Linked DNA regions of Drosophila melanogaster. The protein of the gene in region 1 interacts with the protein of each later gene in a pairwise test. Each region holds a gene or a part of one and is shown on either strand. Other genes may lie near its edges.

Region 1 (3,786 bases):
CCACGGGAGCTGCCACGTGCCTGTGTCTTAAAAATATTTATTTATCAAACTTATTAGCATAGGCAAATTAAAATGTTTCCTTAAGCTAAATTCCTGCTGCGACCCACTCCAAATGCATTAAAAGAAAGTTAGCTCTGAGCATTTGCATTTGTATTGCTATCAATGGCAAATCTTATGGTCAATATTTTGGCAAATATTCGCATTGAATGACTGGATCAGCCCGATTAGGCACACGTTGCCAGTCGGGTTTCGACTACGTCATAGCCAAAAAAACAGGGAAATCCTCTGACCAGTTACAGCATAATGGCCTCAAGCCAAACTTCTTTGTCGAATGTTCCACTCTTCCCCCAAAGTGTGTGACTCACAGAAAAGCTGCCAATTAGATCGGATAATGACCACAAGCGATGGTAACATCGATCGTCATCTTTGATATTACAATATTTGTCAGCGCTAATAATATAATATTTATGTTGTCCACGGTCCACGATTTCACTTTCCAACCAACCGAAGAGAGCGCTCAACATGTTTTCAGGCTTTTCATTTAAACTGTATTTCGTATTCGGTCACTTACATCTATATATTCATGCACTCTCCGCAATTATAATACAATATATATATATTTTTTCTTAAAGTTCAATGTTGTATAGTTTTGATACATGATCGCCCTAACGTCTTATCAATAGAAACGTAACAAGCGGCTCCTGCGCAGTCAAACTGCTCCTTAATCCTTGGATTTCTCCGGTCAGGTCAGAGTTCGGTGGCGAAATAAATGCGCCTACTGGGTCAGAAGTCACCCACAGCATGGGAAACGAACTCAAACTGGCGCTCAATGCTGTTCTCCGACTCCAGTTCCAGTGCATCGTCGATGAAGTGCATCTCGACGTGCTCGCGGAACGCATTGAAGGACACTTGGCTGGAGTACTGCTTGCCGCACATAGGGCAGGTCTTCTCCATTGCGTCGGCTGCATCTGCTTTGATTTTCTCTTGTATTATGTTAATTCTCTGGCTGGGCGGCGTGCCATTGTGTCCATTGTGTTGGCTCTCATAGTTCTTCAGCTCGCTGGTCAGGCTGTCGTCCGTTTCCAGACTTTTGTCGGCCATCTCCGGTTTTTTGATGGTTTTCTGGGCACATTCCGGACAGGGCTTGAGTGCTGCTTGCACATAAAACAGGCGTTAAAAGTTATTTTTTTTATAGCATGAATTCCATTTTGTTGCTTACCTATGCGATTTTCTAGCAGAGTCATTACCGATCTGAGCTCCTGCTGCTGCTTCATGGCCTCTCGCCTCAGCTCCTGCAGTCCATCCAAACATCTTTTGGCATCCACATTGGCATCTGGTTCACTAGTGGTTTCCTCCACCTTTTGCAGGTTGTAGGGGTAACCTAGTTCCTCACTGCTGGCACCGAAGTCATCCAGGGCTATTTCCTCCAGACTGAGATCCTTAATGCCGTCGGAGAGCATCTTTTGGCGAAGGTGAGGATTGGGGGAGTGCTGCGTAAAGGTCTTGGAGCGCACCAGGTTCTGGTTTTGCTGGGCTCGCGAGTCTGTTGAGCTGGGCAGTGCGTTCAGCTGCTGATCCTTGGAGATCTGCGATAGGCGGGACCAGAGCCGTCTGTTCTCGTTGGATACCATGCCAATGTGCTCCTCCAGCTGCTCCTTTTGGCGCTGCAGCTCAGAGACCTGTGCTTTCAGAGAGAGGACGTCCCCAGTGACCCCGATTTCGTTTGCCCTTGGAGCACCTTCCGACCTGCTGGAGGCCTCCCTTAGCTGCTGGTTCTCCTCCTCCATGCTGGCCACGCGGCGCTGCAGCTGGATGCACCGCTCCTTGATCGTCTGCAGCGCCACTTGCAGTGCGTAGTTCATTTTTTCACTGGAGGGGGAGTTTGTGGATCCGGAAGCGGACATGGAACTGGCCATAGGCGTGATTTTGGCAGCAGATGCCTCCATTCTGCAGTATTGGAGTTCCTTGGCACTTGATCCCAAAAATATACGTTTTCCTGTAGATGTTTGATTTTCCAAATTTTTATTGCGTTCTCATTAGTATGACCGTGCGATGAACTTAAAAAAATAATATACACTATACCGATAGTCTATAGTCACTGAAGACAGATAAATAAAAGTAAAGTAATGTATTGAGCTAAGTTTAATTACTTAAACAAAAATAACGACTCTTGATCTTATAAAGTTAGACCACCATTTACATGGTTGAAGACGATAGGTTCAACAGGTTTCACTCTATCTCAGCATTCCTATTACGTTATTTGGTAGAGTGACCAGCTGGTATCGCGAACAGCTGTTTTTGTTTACGCTGCATTATTATCCAACAAATTTTCCGATGTTTTGCGGCAAGAGTTTAGTCAATAATTTTTACAAATATAAGAGAAAAGTGTGGCAGAATGTAATCCCAATTGCACAGCGCTGCAAGGGAACTTACCACCCTCCAAAAATTCTCTTTTTCGGTACCGACAATTTTTCCTTGCCCAGCTTACAGGCGCTACACAAAAACTGCGGGTAAAATGTTTTAAACAATAATGTTAAATTGGATTAATAAGAATATTTTTCTTAGTGATCGTTTGGGAGTTGTTACCTCCTTCAAAAGTCCCGCCAACTGTGTGAGGACCTACGCGGAAAAGGAGAAGCTTCCCCTGCAAAAGTGGCCCATAGATCCTTCTGTGTGTCCGCAATTTGATCTGGGTGTGGTGGTCTCCTTTGGCCACCTGATTCCTGGTAGTATCATCAATGGATTTCCTTATGGGATGATCAATGTTCACGCTAGTTTGTTACCCAAATGGCGGGGAGCTGCTCCCATCATATACGCCATCATGAAGGGAGATGCCAGCACTGGAGTTTCCATCATGAAAATCGAACCTCACCGGTTCGATATCGGTGATGTAAGTTCATTCTTATCTTACCATTGTATGCAGTAGTATTGACGACTTATGCTTTAGATTTTAGCTCAGCGAGAAGTGGCTATTAATCCCGATGTCTTCATGCCGGATCTGCATGCATCTTTGGCGTCGCTAGGAGCCGAGTTACTTGTGGATACTATTAACAACCTATCAGTAAGACTTAAGGAAGCCAAACCCCAAGATAGTTCAAGGGTCAGCTATGGTAAAGCATATCTAAGCACTTCGAGAACCTATATAAACTATATTTTTGCCTTCAGCTCCCAAGATTACCAGTAAAATCACAGAAATTATCTGGTCCGAGCTGAGTGCCATTGAAATATACACTCGTCATCGAGCTTTGTATGGCTACAAAAACCTTACAACCAACTTTTTGGGCAAGCAAGTGCAGTTGCTGGAGTTGCGATTACCGGAGAAGAGAGTTCCCGTCCAAGAACCTGGTGCCATCAGCTACCTAAGGAAGTCGAGATCCCTCATAATCGGATGTGCTCAGCAGAGTCAGTTGGAAGTGCTTCAGTTACGCGTGGAAGGTAGAAAACCTATGAGTGCCCAGGACTTTAACAACGGATTCCTGAAGCAAGCAAGGTCCTTATCCTTCACAGAGAATAAAATAGCATCGATTTGATAACGAACGTGTGGATTTAATGCACAATGGATGCTTAGTATCTAGGCCAAGTCGGAGGGCTTGACTTCCTTGGTTTCGGACAGCTGCTGCGTGGATTTTTGGAGCAGATTCTTGGTGAACCACATGGGACGAGGCTTCTTCATCTCCACGATGCGCTTGTTTTTCAGATCATCTGTGGACTGTTCGGCCTTCTCGCCTTCATAAAGAACGATTACTTCCTTGTCCACGGGATCTAGACCGAGTGTCTCCTGGATTT
Region 2 (5,580 bases), on another chromosome or scaffold:
GCAGGATGTGCGTTGAGGTGTTTTTTTTTTCGATCCTGCGGCGTTTCGCCTGGAAAGGCGAGTCGTTCGGAAAATGAAAGAGAAAAGTAGTCCCCTTGCATATTATTTGTGTAAAGTAAACGATAATTCCATTATAAATAAAAAGATACAAACAATTGCATCTTGTTCTCTAAGTAGTTGGATGATAGCGATTGATCGAAGATCGGGTGGCAAAAGGGAAAGAAACAATCCACTTCACAGACAAAATACACGAAAAACAATACACACACCGCAAATGAATCGAACGAAATTTCGCTCAGGTCTTTTCGTCATTTTGCATTAAACTTAATGTTTAACGTCTTGTTAGCTAAAGATGTATAGCAGAAGAGGAAGTCGGAAGTTAGATGAGACAAGCAGATGTAATTGCATTTAATCGGTAGTTTTAATTGATTACTATACGTACTATTTAAAGAGAAAACCAACAAATTAAAATAAATACATTTTTTAAATGCGTTGAAAACCGAAATCTACTTATTTCCTGGTAGAAAATTAACGAAGCATATGGTTTGTTTTGGTACTTTAAACGTTTTATTTTAAATATCGTTATGAATTCATGCTACACTCTAAATGGATTTCCTTCGTTTCCGCTAGTTATGCAAAAATCAATGCAATGATTTCTGTGGGATTTAGTGTATAATATTATATTTATGTATATATTTAACTATTTATCGTATGGGATTTCGCATACAAATACCATTAAAGTTCTTGTTTTCACTTTGGGATTATCAAATGTTAACAGATCTAAAATATAAACAACCCTTTTAAACAATATCTTTTCAATGCAATGCTGCTGTGATGATTCGGATTCGTGTTGGGGGCTGCTCAGATGAAACACGTAGAGATTAAAGCTTAGATTTAGATACACGCTCCTTAAGTGCCAGATCTTACAAATTAAGTATGGGGGCCTTTGTTTTTTTCGTTTTCCACGGTGTACAAAACAGAACGATGTTGCGCTTATTTATTACGGAGCTTAGTCTACAAAATTATGGCAAACAAAAAACAAAGTCTCTCTCAGAGCCTTTCCACAAAAGAAACACAAAAGTCAAGAAACGAAAGAAGCTGTTCCAAAAAGGGTGTCCATAGCAAGGTGGTTGTCTTGGCACCCAGCGCAGATCGCTAACCATCATAGTGGGCTCTACATTGCGTCTAGTTGCGATTCAGCCAGAATATTGTCTTGAGAACGAAGTAGGCCAGGCCCAGACAGTAGACGATCTTCTCCCGCTGCGTGCGCTGTTCATTGTTGATCTCGATGTTCAGCACCCGGCGATTCAGCTTGGCCAGCTGGCGTCTCAGATACAGGATCTCCTCGTGGGGCGTCAGCTCGCCCATGGGCGTGCCCTCTCGGTGCGCCAGCATTGAGGCATCCAGGTTGTTGTGCTGCTGTTGATTCAGCTGCGAGCGCTTGCTGGCACTGCCTGTGGTCAACTGGAACACATAAGGTAGTCAAAGATAAGTTGCGCCAAATAGGATTTAGATGTGTGTACCATGTTAAGTGTTTGCTTTGTGAAAGTTTTCTGTTATCAATGTGAAGCAAGAGTCATTTTTCAGAGCTCCCCCAAATATTTCCGGTGTCAATATAAGCAATAAACATTCGAAAAAAAAAAAAACGCCCAACTCGAAATTTTCTGTATAGCCAACCAATTTCTTTCGATCCCAGCAATGACAACCAGTCCCAACGTAGCAGAAGTGGATGATGGCGAGCTGCCGAAACTGGAGGCGATAATCAGCGCGCTGAAATGCGAGCAGACGGGTCACATTATGGAGGCGATACTACTCTACGAGGAGAGCATCTTCAAATTGTCCCAGATGGCCGATGCGGAGCCGAGTCGCCGCCAGCTGTGTGGGAAGTATTTGAAGATGTACGAGGCGCGGGCCAAACAGCTGAGGGATCAGGTCAAGGGTCACTTGCACACCAGCCGTATGCTGGATCACATCACCATCGAGCAGGGTGCCAGGGGCAGAAGCTACCAGCGGCTGTTTGGTCCGTATTTGGACGATGCGGTTCGGGAGGCCCATCTCAACGAGCCACACCTCACGGAGCCACCACACTTTAGGAATTTGCTTAACTTTTTCGAGGTGCTGGTCAAGAACTGTCGCTATCTAAAGTATATTCGCCTCACTACGCGCCCAGATGCGACGGCGCCCAAGAATCAGTTGCAGATGCTGCAGCAAATGCAGAGCGATCTGGCCGGTGGCAACATCCAGATGAATTTCCAGATGGACGACAGTTTGCACGATCGCAAGATCGTTCTTAGCTCGGGAGTGGTCATTAAGATTGGCCGTGGCCTTCACTACTTCGAGCCCATGGAGGGTTCGTACAGTTTGGGTCTGTGCGATTTCGATTTTCGCAAGTGCCTGGCCACCGAGGTGGACATCTGGAAGTGTCGTCCTTTTGCGAGGCGCCTTAAGGATACACAGGAGGGCGAGGATCGACCGGAGGCACACGGCTACTCCAGCGATTAACAAAAAGTGAGAGTGTGTTTCCACACAGTCGATGGAAATTGGGTCAGCCGTCTTATCAAAGCCGTATTAGGAATTCAATAAAAACCAGCAGGCATGGTAATCTCTTTGCAAACTGAATGGGTGGCAAGCGCAGTGTGATCGCTATCTATCTATTATCTATTAACAATTTTGGTTGTTTTATTGCGTCATGTGTGGATCGCTAGGGTCTAGACTTCCATCAAATGAAGTGCTCTTTAACAGAAATCACAGAGTTGCTCATTCTGCCCATCGATTTAATTTACAAGCACTTGCAATTGAATTGAAAAACTAAAGGAAAATTGTTGCTTGTATGGCATATTTTACTCACCTGCGAGTCCGATTCAACGGAATTGGTGTCATTGCCTTGAAATCCCATACGGGCGACTCCATTGGCACGCACATATTGGGTGGCATGGACCTCCTCATCGTCGGCGTCCTCGTCGAGATCATTACCATACAAATGATGACCATTGGCCCGGATGGGCGAGCTCTCCTCGGAGGCCGAGGGAAAGTGTTGATCGGTGAGGGTGATAATGCGCGGTGGCGTCTGGACGCGCACCAATCCGACCGATGGGTTCTTGGGCAGAATGGAGTTCTCCAGCTGGATTTCCCGCGGAGCAGATCGCGTCTCCAGATGCTGATTGTGGCCCAGGACCACAATTCGATCCGGTACATTCATGTCGATCTTGTCGTGATAGTTCCAGGAGCTGATCATCCCGTTCTGGTTGGACAGCAGCAGATCCTCGTTGGAATACTCCCCGGTGGCCTTTATTCTTTTGGGAACCCGCATCTTGTCGTTAATCTCGTGGGCATATTTGGCGTCGCTGTAGAGATCATCGTCCAATCCATTGAACATGGGCGTCGGCGATTGCGGGGTCACCATGGCGATGTCCTGGGGAATCCTTTCAACTGATCCAATGGGCCTCACTTGCTTTTGGTTTTTCGTTGTTTGTCCAATTTTTTTTTTTTAGGTAGAAGGCGGCCGTGAGAGAGACGTTTTCATAACAAATTAATAACCAGAATTTGGCAAGCGCAACATTTTCGTCCGGCTTGTGTGCGTGTGTTTGTTGCGTATTGGGTTTTTCGAATGCTTTCTACTTACATTGCTCGGGAAATGACAGAAAAATGTCCGAGAAATCCGTAATAATTTACAATTTTTCTCCTGCCTTTTGTTATGTGTGTGAGGAGATTGATATAGAATGTGCTAAATAATACCAGGAATGACAGTCACTCTACTTCCACTCTACAGATCCGGCACTCTAGCTCCTTTTTAGCCAAATTAATTATCTACCTCAATATCAGTAGAAAACTAGGTATTTAAGAAGTTATTTCAGTTGTTTTGATTCATTTTATTAATATGTTTTTGTTTCTTGAAAAGTTTGCGGTATTCTTCTGTCTTGAACAAATAATTTACAACTCGATTTAAGCGACAACTTTGGTCTTTATAACCTACATATGTAAATAAAATGAGTACTGTTAGTCTTTGCAAAGATCAAATACTCCAAAAAGTTTTCTATCGATTTATAATACTTGCGCATTGGTATGGTTCGATTAATGTTTAAGGGAATGTAAAAATAAGTACAAGTACTTTTAATACTTTAAAATAATTAACCTTGAATACATTTTAAATTGTCTTAAAGTGCCCACTAAACCACTGTTAACGACACGCTGCGTGCTGTTAGGCGCCGTTCGGCGTTAGCCAACACTGAAAAATACCAACGCAGTGGGCCGCGCTCATTTTACAACAAAATTTTCTCATCCGCCGACAACTAGACGCGCGTCTTTTTTATCAAGTGATTTATGCTGAATTTACGGCGTTTCAATAGCCCCATAAAGTGAAAAACTACAAATAAATCCCATCAGAAGTGAGTTACTAAGTTGTGAAGCGTTAAAAGCTGTTTAAGCTAAGTTAAACATCGTTTAAAAACTGCCAGCCAAGAGGAAGAGAGCAAGAGAGAGAGCGCGTTCTGCCAGCGTCGCTGCCTGCGGAATGTACAGTTGCGGCAGCGACGTCGCTTTTCCTTTCGGCGCGCAAACACAAATAAATACAGAAAATTAGAGAAATAAAGAAAGCAAAGAAACTAGAGAAAACCACAGCGTTACTTAAGTACATTAATAGATTGTGTGTATTTTGTAAACTATAAATAACATGCAGCACTCGCCGAGCACAACGACTGATCATATCCATTTTGCAGCACGTTTTTTCGACCGCAATTCATACACCATGGATCGACGCCTGAGACGCCCGCGTCGCACGGAAGACGTGTCCAGCGGTCCACTTCTGGCCCAGTCCAAGCAGCCCAGCCTCCTGCCGGTGACCCGACGTACGGGCTCCGTGACAGCTGCGGGTGCCACCGCCACCGCCACCGCCACCGCTGGTCCCGCCACCCGGACACGTGCCTCCCCGTCACGCAACAAGGTCGTCGCACCGCCCTCGCCCGATCTTGGCCCGCGCACCCGTCGCTCCAGCCGGCCGAGGTCGTCGGTGGGTCCGCTGACCGGATCGGGATCTGGTTCCTCGCTGCCCATCAAGGCCGCCATCAAGGCACGCACACCCATCCCAGAGGTTTCCGAGGTGAGTTCTCCAGCACAAACCAGTTTTGCTGGCCGGTGGATAAGTGCTTAGCTATATTTGATCAGTATTCCAACCATCAGCAGTTTAGAATTTTGAAATCAATTGCTTTCAATATAAAAGCATAGCGAAATATTAGTTCTATTTAATTTCGATCGTTACAACCAATTAAACTACATAATTAACTGTAACTGTCCTACCTTTATTACAAATTTCGAGCTTCTGTTTCTGTGTGTTTTATGAAGCTGATAAGCAGCACCCACCGCCCTGCTTATCAGCTTAGAGTTCTGCCCTCATATGCTACCATAAGGAAATTCCGGGCTAAGATAACGGATTTGTAATTGTTGAGCTAAACTGCTGATTACAAAAATAGAGGGGAATCTGATAAGTGTACTCAAAACACCTTTAACCCAGTTTTGAGTACCCACATATTTTTGTACAATCATGTCCCTTTGTATATTCTTCTAAGGTTATATAGTTTCTGACTT
Region 3 (4,753 bases), about 27 Mb from region 1:
AAAGGTGAGTACATGGTACTTATAGCTTTTTACTTCTTTTTAAATAACATATATAGTTACATTTACCAAAAGATATCAAAGTGCTCTTTTATTTCGAAAATTCGTATGCATTGCATCTCTTCTACAATATTTTGTTTAACCATGCAGGATAAAGGCGATTTACCATTTTGAGGTAAATTCTTAGAGCACCATTACTCGTAAAGTATAGCCTAGTAGATTCGTTGGGAAGTATGTATGTAACACTTCTATCGATATGCCAAAATAATATTAAAGATTCTCGCTTAAACATCTACTAGCTGACTAACAGGCAAGGAACTCGACCATACAGTTCTCATTTGGTATTTAAATATAATTCATAAGATATCATTATTAGGCAAAGGCTGTATAAACTAATAACTGTAAAAATAATACTTTTAAAATTAAATACTGGCTGCATTGCCAGACATCACAGTCGCTAGTCAACTTTTCCCTTTGGAATTATAATCCTTATATTGGCGTATTATGATCATTATATATTTCAAGATATAGGTTATATCGACCGCTATATCAAATCTTTTGTTACTTAAGGGCTCTGGAGCCTAAGTATGCCAAAAGCATTTAATAAACTTTTATCATAGACTTGCCTCCTAACCGAACGATAGCTGGATTCGCATTACCATCATGAATTGGATCTGTCCATCTCACCGCCGATAACGGCACATTTGTCTTTATAGCACCGCAACAGGTGGTGAGGCTAGTTCTCTTGACTCTGACGATGCTGTCACTGTCCATCGAATGATTATGCCCACGATGTGTTAACCCCGAATGGTACGAAGATCGTGGCCAAGCATCTCAGTCTCAGACGAGAGTCTCAGGGGCCAGAGAACCCGTACGATGTCATTGTTCTTTTCTTTCTCCATAGGACAAACCGGTTAAAAAACTTTCCTCATAATAGCAGAGCCCAAAAGTGCTTATTAAGCATGCGCTGCCAAAACACATATTAGCGAGCACCTATGTACATATAAACCAGAGGACTAATACATGCGATCTCTATAACCAAGATCTCATGGACTTTGGCCGAATTTTTATGTTGGCCCGAATAATTTCAGATTGCTTGTGGGTGTGACTGATACAGCCAGCCGATTGTATAGCTCCTCTCTTCTGAGAAAATCGAAGCCCGGCAATGAGACACAATCTTGAGATTTGCCGTGTAAACGCGAATGAATATTTGGATTTGATGTGTTTTCTGAGCAATCTAAGCAGATAATGTGTTTACTGAGTCTAAGCCAGTCGCGCCAGCCAAATAACTATACGCGAGGGCCAAGGTGCAAAGCGATCAATTAGCACTTTAGCACTGCATTGTTGCAATCTATTTGCGAAAGCCCTTGACTCTACGTAGCTCCAGGTTCGCTTTTCTGACCACCGGCCAGCGGTAATTGATGCCGCACCACATTCTCCAGGTGATACATACATATGCATACATACATACATACATACACACATACACACATACATAAATTTCTGATCGAAGTATTTAGCGCACTCGTTGGCTGACCCTAAAAACCTGAAAAAATGCGAATGCAACTACATTTCTCGACGTTTCCGCATTCGGCGGACAGGTGAAACTTTTTGATTGACTGACATAGGCGGCACACCACTGCACTCCTTACCCAACAAAGGTACACAGTAGACAATGAAGACAGCGAAATGCGTTCGGCTATTTAATACTATTTAAAGTCAGTTCTCAGGATAAGGAATTAGCTGCTATACCTAAGCTGCTGCTAAAATACTTCTCATACGGAAGAAGTTGTACCACTAAAAAGAAGAAATATTCTATGTATTCGAAGTAGCATAGAAGTACCTACTGCTAATACCCGCATTCCTCAAATAATGAATTTTTTTATCTCGATTGGGAAACAATGGTCAACAATATAATTTCCATTGTTATCAACAAAATTTACTTAATATAAAATTGTATTGAATAAGTGATTCATGAATTACAGTTGTAGACCGAAAGGGTCAATTGTTTTTTACACTTCATAGAACCAGATTAATCCAATAAACAATATTTAATTCATTAAAGTACGAATAGGTTACCAGAGAATCTATGAAAACAAGTCTGGGCAATCCTTTGGAATAATAATTCATCCCTCTCACGAAGGGCACCCACGCCCCTGTGCGCTCTCTCTTAGCCACCGACACGTGTGAGCTCTTTTGCTCTTTTAGTTGGCTGTTGCTTCACGGCGACTCTCTTCGGCATCGCCTACTGACGCTGCCGCTGCGAATGGGCGTGGCGGGAAGCAGAGCAAGAAACAGTGGACTACCGCCACTTTTTTAATTAAACCATGAACAAACAGGCAATGGCGGTGATGACTAATATCACCGAATCGCAAGGCGAGGGTGGGGAGCAGCTGGAAAATGCTTTCGCGGCTGTGGCGATACTCACCTGCGAGGTATGGTGTGGAAGGGGGGGGGGGGGGTCGAGCGGCGATTGGAATGGAAGAGGAATCCCGAGTGCACACACACAAATGCACTTGTGCACGGCCACAAATACACACTCGCGAAGGAGAACGAACGCAAGTGTAAAGGGCCCGCGCTTTTGGGAATTGAACAATCGACTAGTTTCAGCTTGGGCTGGCTGCCGATGCTTTTGATACTGAAACTTCGATACCGCGGGCTGCGATGCCGATGGCTATGGCGATGGCTACAAACAACAGCAACGCCAACAAAAGACACACACAAACACCGCGTTGGATCTCACCGCACATAAAATATATCCGACAACATATCGTAACGGACTTCACCATGCAGAAAATGCGATCTAGCCCAATAAAACTATATGCGCTTCCAAAAAAATATATTAATATCGAATTACTTCTTAGTCAACTAGCCATATCTTTCGGATTTCTTGGGAAACGACGACGCGAGTGAAATCGTTCAGCAACAAAGAGAGCGCGTTTTGCCAGTCGCTTAAATATATTTTTGTACAAAACGGTCTCGCAACTTCGAACATGTTAGATTGGGTTGGCAGCAACTAAGCAGAATGTTGGCACGAGTGTTGCCGTTTTAGCATTTTTAAAGCTCGACTTAGGTTATTTGAAGCCCGCAAGGACTGTGATAGGGATTACAGATTAAATAATATTGTGCGTAAAATCTTTGTGATTTGATAACCTGCATAGAAGGTACCAAGGAAACAGAAAAATAATATGGATCGTCGCGACTATACCCGTATACCCTCAGCCAAATGAAATGCAAAAGCATAAATTGACTGCGAGGGGAATACTTTTCACAGGCCGTTAATATTCTTTGAACTTGTAGTTAACTTTAAATAAAGGTTTCTGTGGCAGGATTGTAATTTTTGGCATGTTTAATTCTACACTAAATTAACTATTTGATTTATTTGATTTCTTTACCAAATAATTTGAGCTAGACATAATCTAGTTCTGGCTGTTCCGTTTCTAGATAATCTAGATCTGGCTATGGAAAATCTAAAAAGGCTGAACTGAGACGAGGCAAAATGATCTTTGTGGATTCCGTTCCGGAAAGAGTGACCGAATTTCGAGAATTCGGTACTTATCGATATTATCGGAACCCATTATTTAGCATTGTCATCATAAAAACGATATTTAGAGAATGTAGAATGTTAAATGTTTTTTAATATTTCTTGTAATCAAAACAAGATCGAGTTCCCCTACTTTAAAAGTCCTGTTACTCAAGTCGTATACTAAGTGCGAATGAGAAATTCCAACATTCTTTTAGCAGATCGAAGGAAATTTAAAAAACAAAATAAACTATTTAAAAAATTTTTCAAAAGCGTGGGAGTTTTGGGCGGTTTGTTGGTGTTATAAGGGACGAAAAACAGACAAAAGTCAGAGGGTTCCTCGACTTTGCGAGCGAGATGTTGCAAAATGGTATATCTATAGAAATTCGCATTACTGCGAGCGAGATGTTGCAAAATGGTATATCTATAGAAATTCGCATTACAATCAAATTACTTTGTAATTGTGACAGTGAAAGTCTCGTGAAGTCTTGCGTGTTAGCGTCGTAGTTTGGGGCGGCTTGTTGGCCTGTTCAAGAATATTATATTTTATAGAGTCGGAAATGCTTCTTTTTACCTTTATCGAATTTAGTAAAACCTTTTACGGCAAAAAAAATAATTCTCATAAAAGTGCGCTAAATAATAAAAAATGAATAAACAACAACGGAAGCTTGAAATTGAAATTAAAGATTGTTCAAAATTAAAAAAATGTAGTAAAAAATGTATACCAAATTAAACGACCAAATTTTACATTCGATTGTTCATATGGCTATTTCGACTCGGTTGTTCATACTGATCAAGAAAGTATAAAGTGAGCTTTATATGGTCGCAAATGCCTCATTCACTGCGATGCAAACACCTTACTGAAGTCAATGTATCCTTTTGGAAATAAAATAGTTTACATATAATTTAATAAAAATATTAAATATTGCTGAGACCGCCATATTCACATTAATTTTATAAAATCGAATTTTTTGGTTTAATTTGACTAAACAGCAGTAATTAATGCTCGGGCTTTGTAACAATCAACAAATACACTGCTTTGAAAGGAACGCCACTTTCTCATTTAAATCCACTTTAACAATATATTTCATATGGATCCGGAGAACTTAGAGGTGGGACAAAATTATGAAGGTTCCCAGGAATTCGATGAGAGCAGCACCAGCTCAATTAGCAACAAGGGCCCGGATGACAGTCAATTCAAGCGTGAGGCTGAGAAAGCTATTTGCATCATGC
Region 4 (7,696 bases), on another chromosome or scaffold:
TGGCAAATACATTATCAGATTATCAACATGCATCATTTGATACAACCACTCAAATAACTCACGTCGATCGTCGCGGCTTTTTCCTAGAGGAGCAGTCATAACTGGAGCTGGAGCTATTACCAGTACCATTCATACGCGTTCCTTGTTGCATCTGCGTCGATCCCACCAAATGAGGCACCTGCTGAGGCTGCTGTTGCTGCGGCGTTGGTGCTTGCACATCCACAAAGGCACTGCTACCACTGCGGGCTCCCAGTGAGGAGTGACCAAGGTTCTGCTGAATCGATTGGTGTGATGAGTACATCTTTTGAAGAACAAATATTAAAGCCATACTTAAGCATATATTGATTGTTGTGTACACACCTCATTAATGGGATTAAAATGCGTGGAATTATCGCGCCCACCAGCGCCTCCCGTGGCTGGCTGATCGCCAATCCTGTCCTGTAATTGCTGATCCACACCAGGTGAGGAATTCGCCGACACTGTAGTTGAGCCGTCCGACGAAGCCGGCGAGTCCGCCCTCGAATTTCTCGTTGAGTTCACGGGGCCAACTGTGGCAGGCACACTAGCGGCGCTACTTGCTACACCATGGGTGACTCGCTCCCGTTCCTTCTTGGCCAGCGCCTCTACGGTCAGCCCAGAGCCAACTGATTGAGGCACTGTCACGGACACCGGCTGAATGTTGAACGTGGTGCCCGGAGCCGGTGGCATGTTTTGTCCACTGTTATTGCTAGCCATTGAAAGCAAAGTGGGTCCTAGATTTTTAGCCGCCCGTATTGGCGAACCTTCCGCATCCCGCTTGCGCATAAAGCTGGACACCAGTGCTCCACTTGCAGTTGCTTGTTGCGGATTGCCCGCTCCCGTGGTCACCTTAACGGACGTATGCAGCGGAATAACCATGTGCTGCGGCGGCGCACTATTTGGTCCTGCTGGTATTATCAATTGCTGGTGGCCAATGGTTCGGGTGGCTGTTCCACCAGCCCCCGACGGCAACACCGTAAAAGTAGCCTGCGATCCGCCGCCACCTGATCCCGCTCCGGCAGTCGCGTGACTTGCAAAGGGTAACGAAGATACCGACAAGCTGCCACCGGCGCTGCTAACCAATTGTGCCTGCGCCTGGGTGCTCTGCGTCACTGTTGTCGTAGTCAATGATAGAACGCCTGTGGAGGCGGAGGCTGGCATAGATTCGTAGTAGATTGTGGCAGCACTTCCCTTCTCATCGATCTGTATAACGATTTAGTTTTAATAGTTAATTGAAGCATCATATATGTAGATAGTTGAAACCTACCTTCATCAACTGGCTCTGTGAAGCAACTACAGGATTCCAGGTGCGTTGAAAGCCCGTCACTGTTGCCCCGCTTGTGCTGGAACCATCTGCTCCAGGGGCAGAAGAAGCTGGTGCCATCATCATCTTGCCCAAAGTGATGCCGCTTGCGTTCTTGATGGGCGTCAGAGTTCCCGTGAGGATATTACCGCCTGGTCCCACTCCCGCTCCCCTGCCACTGATGGTAAGTGGCAGGACAGTGGCTCCACCGGCCGCCGATGTGGCACCCGTCACCGAGCTTGAATTGACCACACTGGCAGAGACATTCGGCACTGGCACCGCCTGGATGCTGGCCACGCCCTGCGGCCCCATTGTTTGTCCTCCACTTCCTCCGCCAGCTGACAGTTTTCCGATGGGATTAAGCTGTGTAATAGTTAGCGATGGCTGAACCTTAGCGGTCATGGTGACAGGTGGACGAATGCCTGTCGATTGATGGTTTCAAAGATATATTATTATTATTTCATTTAATTGTGGTAGGGTTTATTCCTATCATATTCCACTTACAAAAGAACAAGTCACGAAATAATTCTTAAATTTTCAAACACTATTTTATTTTTGTTCTTATTGTATAGTTCTCAGCTCAGTTCAATCCATAAAAAAGTAAACTCTATATAGGAGAACACCTACTTCCACAGCTGGTCGCCGGTCAACTCCAGAACCATCTTAGTGCGAAAATATTTCATGTCTTTCTTGGAAAACGTTATTGGAGCATCCCGGGTTAGGTATTCTGCAAACATGCAGACGAACACGCCGCAATCGTTCATGTTGTCTTGTTGCGGCACATTTTGGGCATCCTCGATGCGAAATTCACTGGTGTCCAAACACAGCCCGAGCTTGTCCTCCGACTCCATTTGAAGGTACTTCACTAGTGCTCGCATCAGATTCGGGTCACCGCGGCCTCTTGAATTGTAGTAGAGCATTGTTTTCGCAGGCAAATCGATTATGACCAGGCACCAGTGAACGAGCATTTGGTGAACAGGCACAAGTATGAGGTCCATGCTAAACAGATCCACCTTTCTAGTCCAGCGTTTTACGCCATCGAAGCCACTTTGCAGCAGGCGGGGCACAAAGAAAGTGCTCATGGCATACACGCTGGGCACTGTACCAGGACGCTTCTCCGATCGCTCGACCAGTAGGTTCATGTAAAAGTTGATTATTTTGTCGTTGAGCCAGCCGCCACTGGTCAGGATTTTGATATCACTGCCGCAGATGTCCAAATTGAACTTGGCCACAATTACCTGCTGCAGTGGATACTTAGATAGTTCCATCAGCCGATCATGGTGTTCTTTGGTCAGCGGAATCAATTCGCTGCTGATTCTTATGTCCTCGATCACATGGACGGACTGCTTAAGGATCAGCTTCTTGTATCTATCGATTTCGCAGGCAATTCGCTCGTGTTTGGCTTTTAAACACAACTGATGTGCTTCATTCAAGCGCTTTCTATTTAACTTGTTTTTTTGATCCGTCCAACGCCGAAATTGCTCGATATAGTTGGACCTTAAAAATAAGGATCTTCGAAAGCGTCGATTGTGGCTATGTTTGAAGACCGCTGGTATGGCTTGCAGCAGTTTCGTTTTACGGTCAACTTTCTTGACCACCTTTGGTATCTCCTTATGTCCTATGTCCTCCTTTTCAACGACTTTAAGCGGTGTCGGGACTGCGGGACCATTGCTGGTTAGTTTGCGGAAAAATTTGAGTTTTTCTTGCACGGCCATTACAACGTCCTCCTCTTGTTCCTGGAAATTCTCGGGCTGCTTTAGAACTGGCATTGTCTTGGCCATAGGGTAATCCTGACACTCTTTTGTGATTAGATCAAAATATCTAGATTTCTCCACGATCTCCTTCTCGAAAGCCAGCATGCTGCTGATGATTGTTGGATGTTGACTAAACTGAATGATATTAGTTCGTAAGCTGTTGATAACAATTGAAATAAAAATTGGGTCCCCCTATTTCAACACGAATTGATAGTAGATTCTCTGCTTCCTAGATGACAGTTAACGTGGTTTATCGATAGTTTCATACTTAACAGCAGAAGTTTCAGTTTTATAAAAATTAAATACTGAATTGACTATTGCTTAACAGATTGCTAAACTAGATGACTTGCTCTTTAGTAAGCATTTTAGAGTATTCCAGTTATAAGTACTAACTTACCCATCTTAGCCGCCGCGGTAGTGCTCATCAAGAATGGCTGCAGCATCACGTTCCCGGCCAGACGAGCTCCGGATCCGATGATCTGTTGAGTGGTTCCCGTCGCTGGCTGCTGCAGCTGAATGATCCGTGTGGTGGGCAAATTAGTGGCCGTCAGAGCAGTTCCTCCGGCTCCGGGACCCCGCCCGGGTGCCACTGTTGCTCCACCGGAAACACTAACGGCCGTTGGAGATGCCGTAACGCTGGTATTCAGCTGCGGTATGCTTGGTGCCCTGATACTTATGCTGGTTGTGTTCAGCTTAGCGGTTGGAAAACTCTTGCCCAGCGGAATTGGTCGCACCTGTCGAGGTGTTACTGTCGTTCCACCGGGCGTCGTTGTTGTTACTCCGCCTGTGGGCGTGGCCACAGCAAAGCGTGGATTAAATTGCTGACCCGGATTCTGACTTGCATTCGGTGCAGACACATTGGAGGAGTAAACTAGTGTAGCCTGATGCTGCCTCTGTGGCAATACAGTAGCCACATAGGCCTGAGGACCTCCTCCCGGTCCCGTCGCCTGTTGTGTCGCCAAGGGCTGGCCAGCGGAAACGGAAAGAGCTATGTGGAAACACAATTAGGATGATGTTGCAGAGTAAGAAAAGATACAACATACCTGTTGGCGCCTGCACTGGAGTAGTGGTCACTACACTGGCATTCGAAACCCCCGCGGATGTCGTTATAATTCGCTGGCGCGGCTGATGAATGGTTCGGATCAGTTGCACCTGTCCCTGACTCTGCATCCAAGCACCACTGTTGCTGGACGAGATGACAGCCGACGATGGTTGCGATGTGAGCGCCACTCCACTTCTGCTCACCGATGCTGTTGCTCCGCGTACGAATCCTCCGGTTGAGCTCAGCACTGTTGGCGCTGTGGGCGTAACCGTGGCCGATGATGTGGCTCTCAATGGCGTGACGAGCCGCTGGCCAACTCCAACGCCAACGCCTCCCATTTGGGTGGCCGTCACACTGGCTCGCGGCAAGTATGTGGCCTGGGTTACGGGCCTGGTAACCGTGATCGATGCATTCGCCCCACTCCTCGCCGGTGCAGCTGGTATGGCTGTTATCTGAGTCCTTCCGGTGGCCGTAACATTCTCTAGCTGCTTGATCATTGGCATCACCACCCGCACCTGTGTGGACTGACCACCAGCGCCAATAGCACGGATCGAAGCTGCCGTAGTCGCTTGTCCTGCATTCAGAGCAATTGGAGTGCCACCTAGGGAAGTTTGTTGAACTTGATTGGCTGACGCCACCTTAATTGTGCCTCCGCTGAGGATCGGTGTGCCCGCAATGGATATCCCACCGCCGCCGTCGGATTTCACGTGGGTGATCTTGGCGGCCACCGCCGGGTGCGCTGCAGAGGATGGCAAATGGGATGGCAATGAGTATTTGTTTATGACGCCGCGCAGCTGCAGGGGCGGATGTGAGTGCGATACCAAGGATGCGGATGCGGATAAAGATCCAGTGGCTGCCAGAGATGATGATGATGATGATGGATATATAGATGGCAGCAATGACAACGATGGCACTGCATGGGTGTGCAGTTGTTGGGTGCGTATCTTAATGGTTTTCAGGGGGGCTGTGCGGGTGGCTACTGTGAGATTTCGGTTAAAAGCTCCACATGGAACACCAATGGACGGACAAGTGAAATTGGGGAGCTACATACATATAACATTGGTTTATTTGTTTGGCTTTTAAATTTAATAATAATATTTGTTTCCTTTTGATGAAAATTAAATATAATATAAATATACAATTTTAAAAAGATGTATGTTTCTATTTTTTAAGAGCCAAACAAGTAAATTTATTAGATAAATAACTGGAAATATATTATCTTTGAGATCAAGCTAAATAAGAACATTTTGTGGGCAGTTGGCAACCCTGAAACGAATGCACAGTAACAACAAAACAAAGGCATACAAACGCAGACGTTGCTGCGAATGTGAGGCACAAAGAGGAATAGGAAACAAACAGTGCGCGTATGCAAGAGCAAAAGAGAGGGGCACAAATGTTATGTATACATACGCATACACGGGGACAATGCTAATACGTATATACGTATGGGGATAAATATATATAAATATTCCACTTGGATATCGGTGGACTTACCTGATGGCGCTGTAGCTGTACTTCCACCGCCCACCGGCCCTCCTCCCGCGCCACCCTCACTAGGCGCACTCATTATTCCAGCTTTGATTTTGCGATATCTGAAAGACGATTTTGGCATTAGACTTCTGTTCCACGTTTCACACGATTTTCGCCTCTTCTACACCACCCGCTCTTTCTCTTCTTATCACTGCGCACTATGTATCCACAAAATCTCTCCACAAGCACGCACACGAAAACAGTCTGAGAAAGGCTGTACTTTGAAATTTTTCTTAGATAAACTTGCCTTTTTATGCTAATTGGTCGCACACATTAAGCGCAGCAAATTAGACTTGATGATTTTTACCGCGCCACCTATTAATACGAGAAGTTTTTCTTGTTTTCCGCTCTTCTTTTCACAAGGCTCAATTAAGTAGTGTTACCAGATTGAAAACAATAAGTAATCTATGAAATACTAAACGCTAGGTGTTCAGAAAAATACTCGGAAATTACACAAGTAAGGAAATACCAAAACAATTTTTTATCCGCTTAAACCGTCATTTTAGGATGATAGGTTTTTAAGCACGAATTTTATAAATCATATTAGTAATACAAGTATTTCCAACATATCATAAAATTAAGGAATTCATTCAATATTTTCATTGATTTATAGATTTTTAACTAAGTAATGCAATGTTAACACATATTGTTTTGTATATATCGTCAAAACTTTGATTTCTCTTCATTAAAATAGACACCAAAGAAGTTTGTTAAATTCAACCCAGGAGGAATGCCTACTCTTCATAGTATTGGGGATAGGTTACTTGGTGTACAGCCAATATTAGTCATTTAATTGATAGTTATTGTCATTTAATAGATTGGTATTGTGTTTTGTCTCCATTTCCATCCAGAAACTGATGATACAGCAAGGCTCTGCAGGCATTGGCATAAGTAAACTCTTTGTCCCAATTTTGTGACTTTTTCTTCATTAAAGAGAAGAAAAGTAAAGTAAAGCCAAGTAAATTGGCTTGTTTTGGTACTTTTAAACAATGGTTCACGTTTACAATTCTTCATCATTAGTTTTAACAATAATAATAATATAGCGAAATAGGTATTAGCTTGACAATATTCAACTATTATCCTCGAAAATTTGGGCCCAAAAATAAAACTAAAAGAATATAATCAAAAAATTAAGACCCATTGGTATTTTAAAGAAAGTGGTATTTTTCGCGCGGGGGCGTATTGGCGGTTCGCCACCTGCGGCCACACTGGCCAACCCACCACTTCGCTTAGTTGTGTTTTCGTCTTGCCTTTTCCACTAGTCTCTCTCGCGAAGTAGTTGGAAAAATCACCTTTTGCAAAGTTTTTCGCTGGGACCAAAAAGCTACATTTTTCAAAAACCGAAAGGAAATTACGCTGATCGTCCGTGTGTGCGTGCGTGTGTATGTGAGAGAGTGTGTGCCATCGATCCTGCAAGTGTGTGTTTGTACGCGAGTGTGGGGCCGCAAATTAAAAGCAATACCACACTGAAAACCGAGATAATCGCACACGGAAAAGAACGGTTTAATTCAATTACAAGTGAAATTAGAGTGTGTGCCCGATAATTGTCAACTGGCCAGGTGGACGGAAAAGACGGTGGTGGTGTTACGTGAAAATTTCGGAGATCGTCGAGGGCCAGAGAATCACATTTAGTGGCTGGCCAAAGGGGAAAGAAATTGATTTTCCATTTTCCACAATTGCAATTGGAAGCAAAAGCAAAGCAGAAGAGCGAAGAAAATAAAAGGGGAGAGCAAGCGTGCGTGCACGAGCGAAAGAGAGTGTGGAGCGCGAGGGGGTGTACGACTGTGAGAGAGAGAGAGGGAGAGTGGGAGAGAGCAGCACTTCCAGGCGTCGCATCCTCCTCCTTTTTCGCATGCAATGAATATTGTCGGGGAATATGAATACAGCTCCAAGGATATGCTGGGCCATGGCGCCTTTGCCGTCGTCTACAAAGGACGTCATCGCAAGGTAAGAAAATAAACTCTTCAAAACAAATAAATACCTTCCATTTACCTATATATACATATATGTATATGTATGTTAAGCCTAAACAATTCCGTCATGTTACTA

Evidence for each region.
Region 2: the proteins of spn-F (region 1) and Tango11 interact in a two-hybrid assay, tested with the Drosophila melanogaster proteins (one large-scale study listed by BioGRID).
Region 3: the proteins of spn-F (region 1) and CG31523 interact in a two-hybrid assay, tested with the Drosophila melanogaster proteins (one large-scale study listed by BioGRID).
Region 4: the proteins of spn-F (region 1) and Sap130 interact in a two-hybrid assay, tested with the Drosophila melanogaster proteins (one large-scale study listed by BioGRID).

The regions. Positions count from the first base shown.
Region 1 is NT_033777.3:31,253,403-31,257,188, reverse strand, and holds spn-F (spn-F), read right to left. Parts: upstream 2,063-3,786; 5' UTR 1,947-2,062; coding exon 1,220-1,946; intron 1,152-1,219; coding exon 784-1,151; coding exon of another isoform or gene 748-783; 3' UTR 530-747; downstream 1-529. Other genes in the region: CG1750 (uncharacterized protein), read left to right, coding at 2,335-2,510, 2,566-2,890, 2,948-3,110, 3,166-3,530; mRpL32 (mitochondrial ribosomal protein L32), read right to left, coding at 3,572-3,786. UniProt on the Drosophila melanogaster protein: Plays a role in oocyte axis determination and microtubule organization during oogenesis. Also required for polarized organization of the bristle. Required, with jvl, for activation of the kinase IKKepsilon in the germ line.
Region 2 is NT_033778.4:21,716,233-21,721,812, forward strand, and holds Tango11 (transport and golgi organization 11), read right to left. Parts: upstream 3,732-5,580; 5' UTR 3,623-3,731; intron 3,614-3,622; exon of another isoform or gene 3,452-3,613; 5' UTR 3,404-3,451; coding exon 2,849-3,403; intron 2,601-2,848; exon of another isoform or gene 2,503-2,600; coding exon of another isoform or gene 1,699-2,502; exon of another isoform or gene 1,527-1,698; coding exon of another isoform or gene 1,524-1,526; intron 1,465-1,523; coding exon 1,186-1,464; 3' UTR 548-1,185; downstream 1-547. Other genes in the region: CG30398 (uncharacterized protein), read left to right, coding at 1,699-2,502; LBR (lamin B receptor), read left to right, coding at 4,670-5,095. UniProt on the Drosophila melanogaster protein: May play a role in mitochondrial and peroxisomal fission.
Region 3 is NT_033777.3:4,476,208-4,480,960, forward strand, and holds the start of CG31523 (uncharacterized protein), read right to left. Parts: upstream 3,001-4,753; 5' UTR 2,855-3,000; exon of another isoform or gene 2,426-2,854; intron 1-2,425. Other genes in the region: sac (sterile affecting ciliogenesis), read left to right, coding at 4,612-4,753.
Region 4 is NT_037436.4:12,804,253-12,811,948, reverse strand, and holds the start of Sap130 (Sin3A-associated protein 130), read right to left. Parts: upstream 6,048-7,696; 5' UTR 5,895-6,047; intron 5,764-5,894; exon of another isoform or gene 5,710-5,763; 5' UTR 5,685-5,709; coding exon 5,612-5,684; intron 5,263-5,611; exon of another isoform or gene 5,082-5,262; coding exon 4,119-5,081; exon of another isoform or gene 4,064-4,118; coding exon 3,473-4,063; intron 3,432-3,472; exon of another isoform or gene 3,404-3,431; intron 3,229-3,403; exon of another isoform or gene 3,181-3,228; coding exon of another isoform or gene 1,945-3,180; exon of another isoform or gene 1,853-1,944; intron 1,744-1,852; coding exon 1,286-1,743; intron 1,222-1,285; coding exon 361-1,221; intron 302-360; coding exon 63-301; intron 1-62. Other genes in the region: CG32110 (uncharacterized protein), read right to left, coding at 1,945-3,180; Atg1 (Autophagy-related 1), read left to right, coding at 7,505-7,594.